Pelodiscus sinensis: one gene and its partner. The protein of the gene in region 2 interacts with the protein of the main gene of each other region in a biochemical or structural test. Links are inferred from orthologs where the notes say so. Each region holds a gene or a part of one and is shown on either strand. Other genes may lie near its edges.

Region 1 (7,152 bases), on a different chromosome or scaffold from region 2:
CTCAAAATTCACCCCAAGTTCAGAGATGTCAGAATTGTTTCCATGAATCCCAGGAACCTGATCCCAAACTCAGGGCTCCTGGAATGATTTTCCCTAACTTCAGAGACCTCTGAGTTCTCCCCGCTGTGTCAGAGCCCTGAGATTTCTCCCCATACAAGGTCTTACTATTCCCAGCTCCCTTTCCTATTAAAAGTTGCTTCTTGAGCATTTGGACTCCACTTCTGGAGACCTGGACAACAGAAGGAGATGACACCATGCTCTTCCTTCCCTGGGTGTTGCTGTTTACATTTGAGAGGACAGAGCCCAGGAGACAAATGTTGTATCTAGGACAGCAGCACACAGCAAGCCTGAGACTGTCACGGGACCAGGCTGAGCTTTGCTGCTAGACTCACATTATCCAGCTCTGTGGCTGAGACTCTTCCTCATGGTGGACCCTTCCAGAGGCAGCTTGAATTGTTTAATTTGCATGCAACACGCCCCCATGTTGCATGCAATGGCTTCAGACAATTCAAATAGGCAGCATTAGAACTAAAAGGAAGAGAGTGGGCTACTCTTTGCAGAGCCCCATAAAGCTGTTTAGCAGAGGAAGCACTAGAACCTAATGACAGTATGCACAAGGGCTCTCACCCTGCCTTACAATGTCCAAACACCATGCCAGCTTCCCCTCAAAATAATGGCAGATATTCCCTTTCCCCAATTCTCAGACTCCTAGACACATCACAGAATTACATGTGAAACATTAACCTCTGATAACAGCATTTCTCAGTATAAGTATATACAATACAGTACAGGTCTCATCTCCCTACCCAGCTCAGACTCAGTTCTAGGCTTAGTGCCCCACCATTCATGAAACACACATCTGATAACCAGATGACACTTGCTCAGAATTTCAGAAAAACAAACTACATCAGCCCCTCAAATCACAGGAAAAATAGTGGCATGGCCTATGCAAGACCAAATATCAGGTGCTGCCCCCTGTGCACCCCTTTGCTAATTCAGCTCTTCAGAAGTCAAACTGGCAGGCATCCTGCCACCCAAGCCTACCTGTATCCTTATCTCAGCTAGGCAGCTGTAGGTTCTGCTGTCCCCCTCTGCTCCTATCCCTGCATCTGCCTGGAGCTGTTAGGCCCATGTTGTGAACAGCTTCACAGCCTTCAAATTAAAAGGGCTCTATGTCCCAAATAGATGGGGGGTTTTGGTATTTCTGAGAGGATCGGTTCTAAATCTGCAACACTCTCCTGGGTTTGTTTTGTTTCAGGTCTGTACCTAGGAGCATACACAGGGGTCCTGGTCTCTGAGGTGACATAAGAAAGAGGAAAGAAGGAGGAAGGAAGTATTTCCTGGGGAGGAAATCTGTTTTGGGGAAGGGGGTGTGTTTTTTGGCTGTGAAGTCTTCTGTGTTGGAGAAAGTGTGTGTGGGGGAGAGAAAATGGGGGCAGTTCTGGGGCTTCCATGGGAAATAGGATTTGGAAGTAGTGTGGGAGGAGATGACTGGAAGTAGGTGTGGATGGTTGGGTGGGAGGTGTTGGGGAAGCATGAGTGGGAGGTAGGAGGGGAATATAACGGGAGGGTTCCAGGGTCGGGGGTGCTCCAGGATGCTGTGGCGAGATTTCGGGTTGGAGAGGGGATGCTTGTGTGTGCATTTCCATCCCTCCCTCACAACACACACACAAAGCCAGCAGGAAAAACACTGCCTACCATGCAGATTGCCGCTGTGCTGCCCAGAGCCCAGCCCTCCCCACTGAGCTGCAGGGCGCAAGCCTTCGCCTGGCTGCCCGAGAGAGCAGGAGCGCTCCCCGCAGACCCCACCTGTTCCAGGGCACACGGCTCCTTCGCAGCCCCGAGCAGGGACGGGGCCTGACCCTCTGGCCGGGGGAGGGGAGGGGTTACACTGCCCCGAGCCAGCTGTGGGGCAGGGAGACGGGACCCGGCTGCCCCAGGCAGTCATTGTTCCGCCCCGGCAATACAGCCTGTGCATGCCCGCTCGGGGGAGGGGGTGGGGCGGCCTTTGCCCCTTCCCTCGCCCAGCCTCCTCGGTGGGGAACGGGCACCGCCGCAGCTCCCAGCCTCTGCCAGCGGCCGGGGGCGCAGAGGCGCCTGCAGCCTGTGCCCACAACGGGGATCGATGGGGGGGGGAAGGGGCTGCGCCAAAGATCTGCAGCGACCCCCCCCAGGAAAGGGACAGAGGGGCGGGGGCGGGGAGGCTGCGGTACCTGAAATTGGGGGGCGAGGCGAGGTGCAGCCCCAGGAAGGGAGAGGATCCGGCCGGGGACGTGGCTCCTTTCTCTCGCTCCGCCATTCTCTCTCTCCATCAGGCGGAGGGAGGGGAGACGGATGCTGCCGACGCTGGCAGGGGAGGGCAGAGCGGGGCCGCCAGGCAGGAATTCACCTGCGGCAGGCCCCGGGGGCTGGCAGCCAAGGGCGCCGCTCAAAGCCGAAGCCCCCGGAGGCCGAACTGCCCGAGAGGAGCCCCCAGGGGACTGCCGCAGCCTGGCTCCCCCTCCCGCCGGGCGAGCTGCAGCAGGTCGACGGTGCCCAGGAGCCCCACGCGGGAGGAGGAAGCAGCGGCTGGGCGCGTCCTGCTCCTCGAGGAGCGCCCGGGACAGGCGGCAGGGAGGGAGCGGGGGGAAGGCAGGAGCAGGAGAGAGGGGATGGGCTGGCGAAGGCTAAGGAGAGGAGGGGAGGGAAAGGGAGGAGCGGAGGACGAGGGGGGAGGGGATTGGGCTGGGAAACGGGATCTCGCAGGGAGAGGGATGTGTGGGGCTGGCAGTGGGTGAGGATGAGGGTGGCAGCGGCTGAGGAAGAAGGCTGACAGGTGATGAAGCGTCCTACTACTCTCTGTGAAAGGCTCCTAGTGAGAGGAGTGGATGGGTCCTTACATAAAAGCAGGTGCAGTCCCTGACCTCTTGAAGATCCAAGGAGTAGGAGGGGGAAAAGGAACCAATGACCCTCTCCTACAAAACCGAACACTCCCTTCCCATCTTGGAGACCTCCAGGGTAGCACCCCACTCCTCCCCACCCAATGTCTCAGCACAGCCGTTAGGACTGCAGGCACCAGACCCCCCTCCCTCAACCCACTACTTACAGCCAAGCAACTGCGGGGGCCCTGCAAATGCAGCCGGGGTTAGAGCCAGCAGAGGGGGTAGGCTGCAGCCAAAGCTGCTAGGCAGTAGCCTCCAAGGGGCCTGGAAAGGGCAAGATAATAAAATCAACAGGTATTTTAATTTTCCAGGCTTGCCTGTCCCCTCCCCCTCCATGCCTCATCAGCACCCTGACCCAAACGGGGATGGTAGATCCTATTTTTCAGACATTGATGAAAGCAGAGTTTGCCCTCCTGAAGCATGCCTGTCCCTAGAGATGGTTGAATTACTGCTACTCAGGAACTGTTTGCATTATGGTCACAGCAGGGGGAGGTTTAAAGCCAGATTTCAAACAATTTTCATTGAAAGAAAGAGGTGGAACCATTTCTATTCATGGCAGGGTCCACTAACCTACTATTTCTACTCCTTGCTCTTTAAACTATTTCTACTCCTCCCCTCCTTTAACCATACCACCAGGTCTAGAAAAAACGCCATATTGAGTCCATGCTGAGATGGCATTTAAATCATTTTCATAACTTTAGTAGCACTGCTTAAGGAAATAACATACATGAAGCCTCTTATGGAGCGTGGGGAGCCATCCGGCCCTGAACCCCCATCTGCAGCCAGATGTGACTCTCAGCCAGCAGGCAGAACAAAAGGTTTATTGGTTCACAGGGTACACAGGAATTGGGAGCAGTCAGTACAATCCATTTTGGCAATAGAGGGGCCCAGAGCCTCCCAAGCCAGCTAGATGCCCTCCATCCTGATTCCTAAGCCAGCTGATATTAACTCACAAACCCAGCAACCAGTCCCAGCCCTGCAGGCAGCCCCGCCTCCCTCTTTGTCCAGCTCCCGCCCCCTCTCAACAAAAGATGTTACCTGATTGCATCTCCCACCTAGGCTCAGATTACAAGACAGCCTGAGCCACTGTGTATGTGCTGGGCTAGGCAGCCTGGAGCAGCCTCCCTCAGTGAGGGTGTGTCTAGACTACAGGATTTTTTCGAAAAAGGTGGCCTTTTTTCGAAAAAACTTCCCGAGTCTAGACTGCCACCATGTTCTTTTGAAATTAAATCGAAAGAACACAGCGGTTTTTTCGACTGTGGTAAAGAAGAGGTTACTTACCTCGTAACTGTAGTTCTTTGAGATGTGTTGTTCACATCCATTCCAATTAGGTGTGCGTGCGCCATGTGCACGGATCCCGGAGCTTTTTTCCCTTAGCAGTATCCATAGGGCCAGCCAGGTACATATCCGCACACATATGTCCCTGCTGGCCCCTCCACCCCCTCAGTTCCTTCTTGCCAAAGTCCTCTGACGAAGGGGAGGTGGGTGGGATTTGCAATGGACATGAGCAACACATCTCGAAGAACTACAGTTACAAGGTAAGTAACCTCTTCTTTTTTGAGTGCTTGCTCATGTCTATTCCAATCAGGTAATTCCCAAGTCGTGTCCCCGGCCGTGGGGTCGGAGAGTAATGATATCTTTCTACAGATTGCAGCCCTTCCCACAGCTGCATCTGCTCTGGCCTATTGTGTAATGGCATAGTGTTCTGAGAAGGTATGTACGGAGGACCACGTGGCCACCCTACAGATGTCCAGGATAGGCACTTGTGCCAGAAATGCCACGGATGTCGCCTGCGAGCTCGTGTGGAATGTGCTCTCAGTGGGGGAGGTGTCTTACCACTCCATGGTAACATTCATGAATGCATGAGGTGATCGAGGAGGATAAGCACTGAGCTGAAACTGGAACTCCCCTCATTCTTTCTGTGATGGAAATGAAGAGTTGTGATGACTTACGGAATTCCTTTGTCCTGTCTATATAGAATGCAATGGCTCTCCTCACATCCTGGCAATGCAAAGCCTGCTCTCTGGTCGTCTTGTGTGGCTTAGGGAAGAACACAGGTAAATGTCCTGGGATATATGGATATAAGATACCACTTTAGGGAGAAAGGCCGGGTGAGTTCGTAGTCTGAACTTAACTTTAAAAAGACTGTGTAAGGGGCTCTGAGGTAAGAGACTGTAGCTCTGATACCCTCCTGGCCAAGATAATTGCTACCAAGAATGCCACCTTCCATGACAGATGTTTTAAAGAACAGGTGGCTAATGGTTCAAATGGTGGCCGCATGAGTCCCTTAAGGACTACCTTAAGGTCCCATGGAGGAATAGGGGGACGTATATATGGTAATAGTCTATTGATTCCTTTCATGAATCTTTTCACCATGCTGTTAGCGAACACTGACCTTCCACCCTCCCTTGGTGGACGCCCTGGTGTCTGAGCTATAGTAGATAGTCTAATATTAGAGGAATATTGGCCCTGATTGAGTCAATGCCCCTTTGTTGTGTCCACAACGCGAATCTCTTCCACTTGGCTTCATAAAGGGCTCCGGTAGATGGCTTTCTACTCTCCCTTTGGACCTCTTGTGAGTACCTTGGTTCTAGGTTAGAAAGCCACTCAGGTTCCAAGCTCTAAGGTGGAGGGCCGTCAAGTTCAGATGGCATAGTGTCCCCTGCCCCAGATCTTGTGTGATTAGATCTGAGATTAGGGGTAGTCGAACCAGGTCCTCTATTGACAATTCTCTCAGGGTGGAGAACTAGTGTTGTCAGGCCACCTTGGCAATATCATGATGACCCTTGCCCTGAAACGCCTGACCCTGACTAGAGTGTCCTGTATTAGTGGGAACAGAGGGAATGCATACAATAGCTGAGTGGGTCATTGTATACGTAGAGCGTCCCCTAAGGGCCTGATTCCCTGTCTCATGAAAGAAAAGTATTTCCGGCACTGGGTACTGGTCTTGGAGGCAAACAGGTCCAGAAAGGGATAGCCCCACCTCTGGAAAACCTTCTCTAAACTATCTCTCGTGAGCATCCACTCGTGGACTTGAAAGGAACGGCTGAGTCTGTCTGCCAGATTGTTGCTGGACCCGGGAAGGTAGGTTACATGCAAGTAGATGTTCCTGGATATGCACAATTCCCAGAGTTTGAGAGCTTCCCTGCACAGGGGAGAGGAATGAGCACCCCCCCGTCTGTTGATGTAGTACATGGCTGACGTGTTGTCAGTTAACACCTCCACCACCTTGTTCTCTAGATGGGGCAGGAATCCGTGACATGCTAACCTGACCACCCTGAGCTCTTTGACATTTATGTGCACAGAATTCTCCTTCAGTAACGATAGTCCTTGTGTCCTTAGGGTTCCCAAGTGGGCTCCCCACCTGACATCTGATGCATCCATCACTAACTGCACAGATGGGGCTTGCTTGTTGAAAGGGACCCCTGCACATACTACTTCCTCCTGTGTCCACCAGTCTAGCGAGCATAGTACTGATTTTGGGACAATAACCACCATGTCCAGAGGCTGTCGCACTGGGTTGTGGACAGTGCTTAGCCACCCCTGCAGTGGATGCAGTCTGAGTCTGGCATGCATCATGATGTACGTACAGGCTGCCATGTGACCCAGCAGTCACATACAATTGCAGGCCGTGGATATGGGGGACCTCTGAAGGCCCACAATCACTGATCACATAGTCTGAAATCTGTGTCTGGGCAGAGATGCTGTCTCTGTTGTGGAGTCCAGACAGGCGCCTACAAATTCTATTACTTGTGAGGGGATTATGGTGGACTTTTCCTCGTTTATTATGAGGCCGAGTTGGAGAAACAGTCATCTGGTGTTTGAGATGTGCCTCATCACTTGTTCGAGACGACCCCCGTATTAGCCAATCGTCCAGGTAAGGAAAAACATGTATGCCTTGGTGCCTCATAAAGGCTGCCACTGGTGCCATACATTTGGTGAATACACTCAGCACCGTGGTGAGGCCGAAAGGTAGGACTGTGAACTGGAAGTGCTCGTCACCCACTACGAATCTGAAGAATCTCCTGTGGGCAAGGATCACTGTAATATGGAAGTAAGCATCTTTTAAGTCGAGGGCAGCGTACCAATCTCCTTTCTGGAGGGAGGGGATGATGGAGGCTAGGGTGACCATTCTGAACTTAGTTTTCCATATGAACGGGTTTAGATCCGTGAGATCTAGAATGGGGCGAAGGCCCCCTTTTGCTTTAGGGATGAGGAAATATCTGGAATA
Region 2 (7,768 bases):
CTGTGTGTTGTGTAGTCTTGCCTTAATCTTTATATTCATGCCTGTCAGTGTGAATGAAGCTATTTGCATATATTTGCATATATTTTTGCATGACTATGCAACCACACTTAATTTGTGGCCCTTGGCATGTGCTGTGAGTATCATTGTGGCCCCTGGGGCTTCTAAAGTTGAGTAGCCCTGCTCTAAGGGTATGTCTGCATTGCGAAGACAAACCCACCGCACAAGTCTAAGCCTGGTTCTGCTGACCAGGCTGATGGGGCTTGAACTGGGGGGGCTATAAAATTGCAGTGTAAACATTCAAGACTCAAGTGGATATCCAGTCTCTGAGCCCTGCAGGCCCAGCCTGAACCCCCATGCCTGCCCTGCAATTTTTAGCCCTGCAAGCCCAAGTCAGATGAGCCAGGCCAGCCATGCAGTGGGACTTTGGTTGCTGTGTAGACATAGCCTGATGCTCCTGGTACCTCATTTGATCTAACAGAACCCCCATAGTCAGCAAGTCCCCAACCCTGGTGCTAGATCAGAACTAGTGGCCTTTGGAGGGCCAAGGCCCAGTATCGCATTCCCTGTCCCCTGCATTTTACATACATGCCAAAATCACATTTTTCAAAGGCCCCACAATTGTCATCACTTCCTGCAGCCCAGGGTCAGTGAGGTCAGAACCCAGATGCACCAGCTGAGTTGCGAGAGAGGTGCAGGGAGGAGCCTAGTGGGGCAGGGCTGGGATAGCAGGGTTCTGTAGGTCAGGACAGAGGGACACCAGCGGACTTGGGGGATTCTTTGGAGGGCTGCAGGCAGAGGTATATTAGGAGTTTGGGGACCCCTCCCCTCCCCTCCTGCCTGCAGTACCCTCAGCACTCCTGCAGGGAGCATGGGGCACTCATTTTTCTAGGGGGCAGCCCAATTGGCTGGAGTAGCTAATCTACCACGGACTACAAATCAGGATTGAGGACACCAATGGAGATGGGGGATCTTCAGGGGGTGGCTGCAGGTCGTGACTGAGAGACACCCATATTGCTGGGGGGATCTCATGGGCGGGTTGCAAGTCGGGACGGAGGGACACCCATAGAGTGGGGGGGATCCCATGAGGTGGGGGCTGCAGGTTGGGTTTGAGGGACACTTGTGGATCTGGGGATTCCATGGGATGGGGGCTGCAGGTTGTGTATGAGGGACTCTAATAGATCTGGGAAATCCCGTGGGGTGGGGGCTGTAAGGTGGGTTTGAGGAGCCAGTGGGTCCTGTGGGGCACCATGACTGCAGAGTGACACTCACTGTTGTTGGACTTGAGGTCACGATGGATGACAGGTACGATGGCCCCACAGTGCAGGTACTGCATGCCTCTGGCGATCTGCACCGCCCAATCCACCAGCACATGGGGGGGTATCCTGCGCCCGGCCAGCGCACGACTGAGTGGGCCCCCGGCTGCGTACTCCATCACCAGGCACAGGTTGGGCTCCTGCAGGCAGACGGCCTTGAGGGCGATGATGTTGGGGTGGCGCAGCATGGCAAAGAGACGGGCCTCCTGGCGTACGCTCTCTGCTGTCGCACTGATGTCTTCATCTGGATCCTGGCGTGCTGCCTTCACAGCCACCAGCTCACCCTTCCAGGTACCACGGTACACCTTGCCGAAGCCCCCCACCCCAATCACCTCCTCCAGCCGCAGCTCCCGGAAGTCAGCGTGAACTGGACCGTCGCCATAGCCGACGGGCTGCAGGGAGACGTAGCTGGAGGGGAAGATGCCCACTTGGCTCCGTACCCGGCCTGCCCACCAACCTTCATCACCGGACACGGTGGCATCCCATGACAGCACCTCCACGCGGTCCCCCTGGCGCAGGCTGAGCTCGTCACTGCCCGCTGCCTCATAGTCAAAGAGTGCTGTCCACACTGGGTTGGCGTAGGCTGCTCCGCCACTCCGCTCGGGCCCCCAGGCACCCTTCCGCAGCAGGTTCTTCAGTGGCTCCATGCTGGGTCGTAGGCTGGTGGAGGCTTCTAGTGAGCCCCTGCCCAGCTGGGGCCCTTCACAACACAGGCATCTTCCTAGAAGGGTGCTGTAAGACCAGGCTGAGGGTCCTGGCTCGCAGGGGTCTCCCCAGATCAAGATGATTATGGGACAGGGAAACCTGCCCACCTACAGGAGTCCCCTCCCATCTGGGAATCAGGATCCTCCTCTACAGCCTAATCCCCCCCTTGCTGGGACAGTTACACTCTACTCCCACTGCCAGGGGCCACAACCATCCCCCGCAGTCTAGTCCCCCCACTCAGGGCACAGACTTATTCTCGCCTATTTCCCTCCCCACACACAGGGGCCAGGGTCAGACTACCACCTGCTCCCCCCACAGGGGCTAGGATCGTTCCCTACAGCCTGCTTCCCCCTACAGGGACCAGGTTTACCCCCTACTTCCCCACAGAGGACAGGGCCACCCCCTACCGCCTACTTCCCCCACAGGGGCTAGAATCGCCTCCTCCCACGGGGTTAGGATCGCTCCCTACTCCCCACAGAAGACAGGGACACCCCCTACCGTTTACTCCCCCCACAGAGGCTAGGCTTTCCCCCTACCGCCTGCTCCCCACCGGGACAGAGAAGTGCCCCTCTGCCTGCGGGATCCTCTACTCCGATCTAGCTACGGCTTCCCCCCGCCTAGCCGTGCCCACACTTCGCTCCCTCCAGCTGGCCTGGCCCTAGCTCCGTCCCAAGCCGGAGCACAGCGGGGAGGAAACGCCTCGGCTTGTTGAAGAAGTTCCGCGGCTAGAAGCCGCCGCTCCTGGGTCCGTCTCTTCGGCAGGGTCCCGGCCGGTCCGGACGTGGGAAATGCCTCTGCCTCTCGGTCACTGGGCGGCTCCGACCCCACAGAGAGCCGGTGGGTTGGGGGCTCAAAGATCGAGAGTTTGCGACGGCAGCTAGAGGTGGCCTCTTCTCCCCGCCTCTCATGGGGTGTGCTCCGGATCCCCCAGCGCAGCGCCCGCTGGCCTGGCCCGGCCCGTCTCCCCGCCCCCACAGGGCACTAGGGTGGAGTCTGGAACCAGGAAGGCGGAGCGGGTCACATTGTTACCGGGACAAAGGAAAAGGAACAAGAGTGGAGACACAGTTCAGGAGTCGGATTAGACTGGGGGAGGGGTTGGGAGCCAGAACGCCTGGGTTCTCCGCTCTGGGAGCGGCAGGGTTGGCGGAGCTGCGAATCAGCACATTAGGCTCTAGCCCCAGCTCTAGGAGGAAATGGGTCTGGTGGTTAAAACAGGGAGGGGGCTGGGAGACAGAAGGCCTGGGCTCCTGGGCACCTTCTTGTTCCTGACTCTGTGCTCATTCATGAGTCGTCCAGAATTTACTTTTCTGTGGCTGCAGTGAGTCCCCCTGTCAAGGTGCCCAGCCAGGAACTGCAGCTTTGTCAGCTGAGCTCCCATGGCAGTGCCCAGGCAGGGACTCTGTCACTGTGGGTTCCCCCTCTCCCGTGCTTGTAACTGTGGAGTTGTGAGCTTCCTCATAGCAGTAGCCAACAATGGTTTCCATGCAGTAAGCTTCCTCAGTGGCAGTGCCTGCCTAGGAAGTGGCAGGGTGCACAGTTCACTACCACATTCATAAATCCATGCATACTAAATTCAGCTGAGTTCCCTTGGGAATGGCATTTTCTGGGGGATTTGGGGAACTATTCTTGGTTTCCTGACTGCTGGGCCATGCTAAGCTTCCTGGGGCCTGGACTGTCTCAGACTATTAGTGTGTGAATTAGAATAGCACTGTGCAGATCCTGACAGAGATCAGGACCATGTCATGCTAGACACTGCATAGACCTTAACTAAGAGGGGAGTCTCTATTTTACTGCACACTGTATGGACCCCCATAGTGATAGCGCTTGACTGGGACTCAGGACTCCTGGGTTCTACTTTTGGTTCTGCCATTGCCCTACTGTGGGACCCTGGCTAAGTCCTCTCCCTCCCACTATTTAGACAGTGTGCTCTCTGGGACAAGGAGTGTTACTCACTTTGTGGAAAAAAACAGCAAGCAAATGGTCGGGTAGCACTTTATAGTAGAGAAAGCTACAGCAATTCATATTCATGTTGACTATATATTTGAGAGCGGATGTGCATCTTTCTGTCTGCATGTCCTTCCATCCGTGAGTTAGTTTGTTCAAGAACTCCTAAATGGTAAGAGCTAGGACCACCAAATTTGGTATGCAGCTTCCTCTTATAATTTAAAGCAAGGTCAGGGTTTGGTTGGGCCAGGACAATGGGGTTTGTGTCGAATACAATTGTTTCTCATCACCTGGAAAGGGAGGGGTGTGATAGCAGGGACAGTTATTCTCATTAATGATTTCAGGGAAGCAGCAAGCACCCCAGCCCCAGAGAGCAGCTGCTGACTAGCAGCACGGCCCCTGCCACCCCAGCCCTATGGAAAAGCTGGTGGGCAAGCTGCATGGTCCCCACTGCCTCAGGGGAGAAATCTGCAGCTGCCCTCCCCACCTCCAACCCTCTGCTCTGACTCCTGCACTGACTACCATGAGCCCCTTGTCACCCCCAATCCTGATTCCTGCACCCCCACATCACCAGCTCCCTTCCCTGAGCCTCTCCTCACCCACAAGCCTGACTCCTACACCTTCAGCCTTCTATACTGAGCCCCTCATATCCCCCAGACCCTGCCTTGACTCTTGCACCCCCTCCCCCATACACCCAGCCCCAAAGGACCCGAGCAGTGCCAGGTAAGTCTTCTAGTAATAAATAATAATTAACCATCAATCTTCATTACTTCCTATTAGGGCCTGATCCTTGGGCATCTCTCCATTTACTTCCCCTCAGCAAGGGGGAGAGGATGAGTGGTATGCACCTTACTTATTCCTAAGCCCACTCAGTCTGACTCAGTTTTCAACCATCAATACCCAAGAGGAGCCCTGTATGGAATACTAGCCTACTATAGCAGCTGGCTAATAGTGATATGGTTGGCTTTTTGGATGATGCCTAGGAGTTGGGAGGAGTTGCTAGTTCTACTGAGAGCCTCTGCTGGGGCAAAGAACCCCCATAGTTGAGGCCCTATCTAGAGCATCCAGTGCCTGCCAGAGCCCCATGCCCTGCCTAGGATCAGATGAAGCAGGTGTGAAGAACGGCCGCCTGTGAAATGCTCCTGGAAAGCTTGTAGTTCACTTACAAATCCAACGCTACCAGCTTAGGCTCGAATAAAGCTCTTAACTGGCTACACAAAGGTAATTTCCCCCTTTGGATAGTCGCATCAAATTCTGGGAAGGAAACACTCCCCCCCCCAGCCTAATTAGCCTCAGCAACACCGCTCCTACACCCGCTGTCGTGCGTATCTCCGCACTCTGCAACCCCCACTCCAGCTGACGGGAGGAAGTGGCTTTTACAGAGCGCTCACGACTCAATAAATCTGTTAGTGCAACATGACTCCTCGCTATTCTATTTGGTTAGGATACGGAAGAGTCACGCCCCCAATACACCCCTTTAAGCCTTCCTCAATTCTCACTGGAGGAGTAAAATGTCAATCAAACAGCACAGTCCATTAGGAATTAAGATTATACTTCCGTTAGAGCGCGCGAGCGAACGCCTGGATTTGCGCACGCGCAATTCACCATCCTGTATCTACCCCCCCAAGGACCTTTTTAGAACGCTTTAACTTTTGTGCGCGAAGAACGCAACTGGAAGAGGAGGAATGGCGTGACTAAAACCTGTTGCGCATGCGTGAAAGAAGTTCCGCAAAGTCTGCTCATGCGCCCAGGGGAGTGTGGAGCAGTGCACATGCGTATAGAGGACACAATTTAGTACATGCGCAGTGCTGCTTCAGCCGTCAGCCGTTTCTGAGTTGACCCACGCACTTTCACTTCCGCTTCCTGGCTGTGTGTTAAGGGGTGATCGGCGCATGCGTGCTGCTCTTGCTGTTCCTTTTGCTCCCTGGGCTCCTCTTCCGGCCTCCCCAGTTTCCAGTTGAGGTGCCGCTGCTGGGTTCCCTCTGCGCTCGAAGGGTTCCCGGACTGACCTCTGACCCCGGAAGTGAACAAGATTTTTTTTGGGGGGGGGCCCTTTAGCATTTCTGGGACGCTGGTGGGAGCCGCTCGGGCTTGCTCCGACCCTCCCACCCTCGGGTCTCCCGACTGCCCGGGCCCGTCACCCGGGTTCCCCACCCTTGCTCCTACCTCGGCCCCTGCTTGCGTGGGTTCCCCTGCCCGCCAACCATCCTACCTGGGTCCCCACTCACCCCCGCCCGCCCTTTTTCCCTGCCCCCCGCTGCCCTCTCTACAGGGCTGTGCTGCCCCATTCCGGTCTCCTCCCATCATACTGGTAGCCTCCTACTGGGGGGTCCCACCTTGACACCGTGTTGCCCACACCCTTTCCTGCCCCATTCACCCTACTGAGGCCCCCTATCCTGGGCTGCTGTTCAGTGACAAGACGGGGGCTGCCAGCCTGTTCCCCAGGGTGTCCCTCTCCTGTGTCTCCAGTTGGTCCTATCTCTGCTTGAGCTTGCAATCCCCACCACTAGAGAGTTAGTTCCCTGCCACCCTACCTCCTTCTTTACCTCCTCCACAGTTTAATTTAAATTTCCTTGGACAGTGGAGATAACCCCCCTCCCTCCAGCAGTCATAATGGCATGAGCAAGAAAAGGGTGAATGTGGAGGGAGGGGGGAAGCTTTTTGCTGTGGAGGCAAAAGGGCACGTTGGATGGCTAGTGAGACTCCACAGCAGTAGCTGAGGTTCTCAGGGGTAGGTGTGTGAGGTGCCCATACCTGCTGAAGGAGGGCAGCCTGGTTTAACTAAGAGAGGAGTGAGGTAGGATTTTGGGGTCCCAGGCTGCAGATCATGGGCTTTTAGTTGCCTTGATGAAGGATATTGCAGGTGCAAGCTTGGCAGTCACGTTCCCTGAGCAGGAGGAACGGGCGGAGGGGGAGGAAGAAGAGGCACCACCGTGGCCATGGGCTCGCAGGTGCTGCAAATCCTGCGCCAGGGCGTCTGGGCCTCGCTGACAGGCGGCTGGTTCTTTGATCCGCACCAGAGCACTTTCTCCAACTGCTTCCACCTCTATACCTGGATCTTCCTGCTCACCTTCCCTTTCCTGCTCTACATGGTGAGTCAACCTCAGGCCCCTCACTGCAGATTGGAAGTTAGGCTCCTGACCCTACAGCCAGTCATGCATGTCACTTTTGGTAACCTGGGATGTGGGGTCCTGGCATTAATGCCCCAACCTGGGGTCCTTTCCCAGTGTAAAAGCCAAAGGATGGGAGAGGAAGTTGAGGTACTGATCATGAAGTAAGTGGCCCAAGATCACCCCACAGGTCATGGCAGAGCTGGGGGTAGAACTTGAGTCTCTTTTACCCCTGCTTTGCACTGACCTGTAACTGTAACTTTAGGACCTGATCCCCAAAGCTGACTTTCACCTGGAGGCAAGCTCCCCTTGCCACTGAGCATGGCACAGAAATTGGAAGCTGCTGGGGGACTCTAGGCAAGATGTCCCATGTTATTGCTGGCTGAGCCTTTAGCAGAGTGGAAGATGGGCATGTTGAGATTCAGAGAAGGATGGTGGGCTTGTGTGTGGGGAGCAGTATACTTCTGTTCAGCCCTCTTGCCTGCCTCAAGTCGAGTCCCATCCATTCTAAGTATCTCACTTTCCTCATCTGTATAAAGAGGAGACAGACCCTGCCTTTGCCTGTTGATGTTGTGGCTATTCTGATCACTGTGTCTGTGTGGCTCCTTGCAACCCTCAATTGGAGTTGGGGAATCTGTGCAGTGGTGGTGGCTCTGGCCATGGCTGGAGAGAGGGGTCAGAGTAGCACCTAGCACA

What was found. The genes of interacting proteins can lie anywhere in the genome.
Region 1: the proteins of MAP3K11 (region 2) and MAPK8IP1 form a complex in vitro, tested with the Homo sapiens proteins (2 studies listed by BioGRID). The link is inferred for Pelodiscus sinensis from reciprocal best matches to the Homo sapiens genes MAP3K11 and MAPK8IP1.

What each region holds. Positions count from the first base shown.
Region 1 is NC_134714.1:83,261,691-83,268,842, reverse strand, and holds the start of MAPK8IP1 (C-Jun-amino-terminal kinase-interacting protein 1), read right to left. Parts: upstream 3,006-7,152; 5' UTR 2,313-3,005; coding exon of another isoform or gene 2,300-2,312; coding exon 2,214-2,299; intron 1-2,213. UniProt on the Homo sapiens protein: The JNK-interacting protein (JIP) group of scaffold proteins selectively mediates JNK signaling by aggregating specific components of the MAPK cascade to form a functional JNK signaling module. Required for JNK activation in response to excitotoxic stress.
Region 2 is NC_134721.1:35,926,195-35,933,962, forward strand, and holds the start of MAP3K11 (mitogen-activated protein kinase kinase kinase 11), read right to left. Parts: upstream 3,010-7,768; 5' UTR 1,961-3,009; coding exon 1,270-1,960; intron 1-1,269. Other genes in the region: PCNX3 (pecanex-like protein 3), read left to right, coding at 6,902-7,054. UniProt on the Homo sapiens protein: Activates the JUN N-terminal pathway. Required for serum-stimulated cell proliferation and for mitogen and cytokine activation of MAPK14 (p38), MAPK3 (ERK) and MAPK8 (JNK1) through phosphorylation and activation of MAP2K4/MKK4 and MAP2K7/MKK7.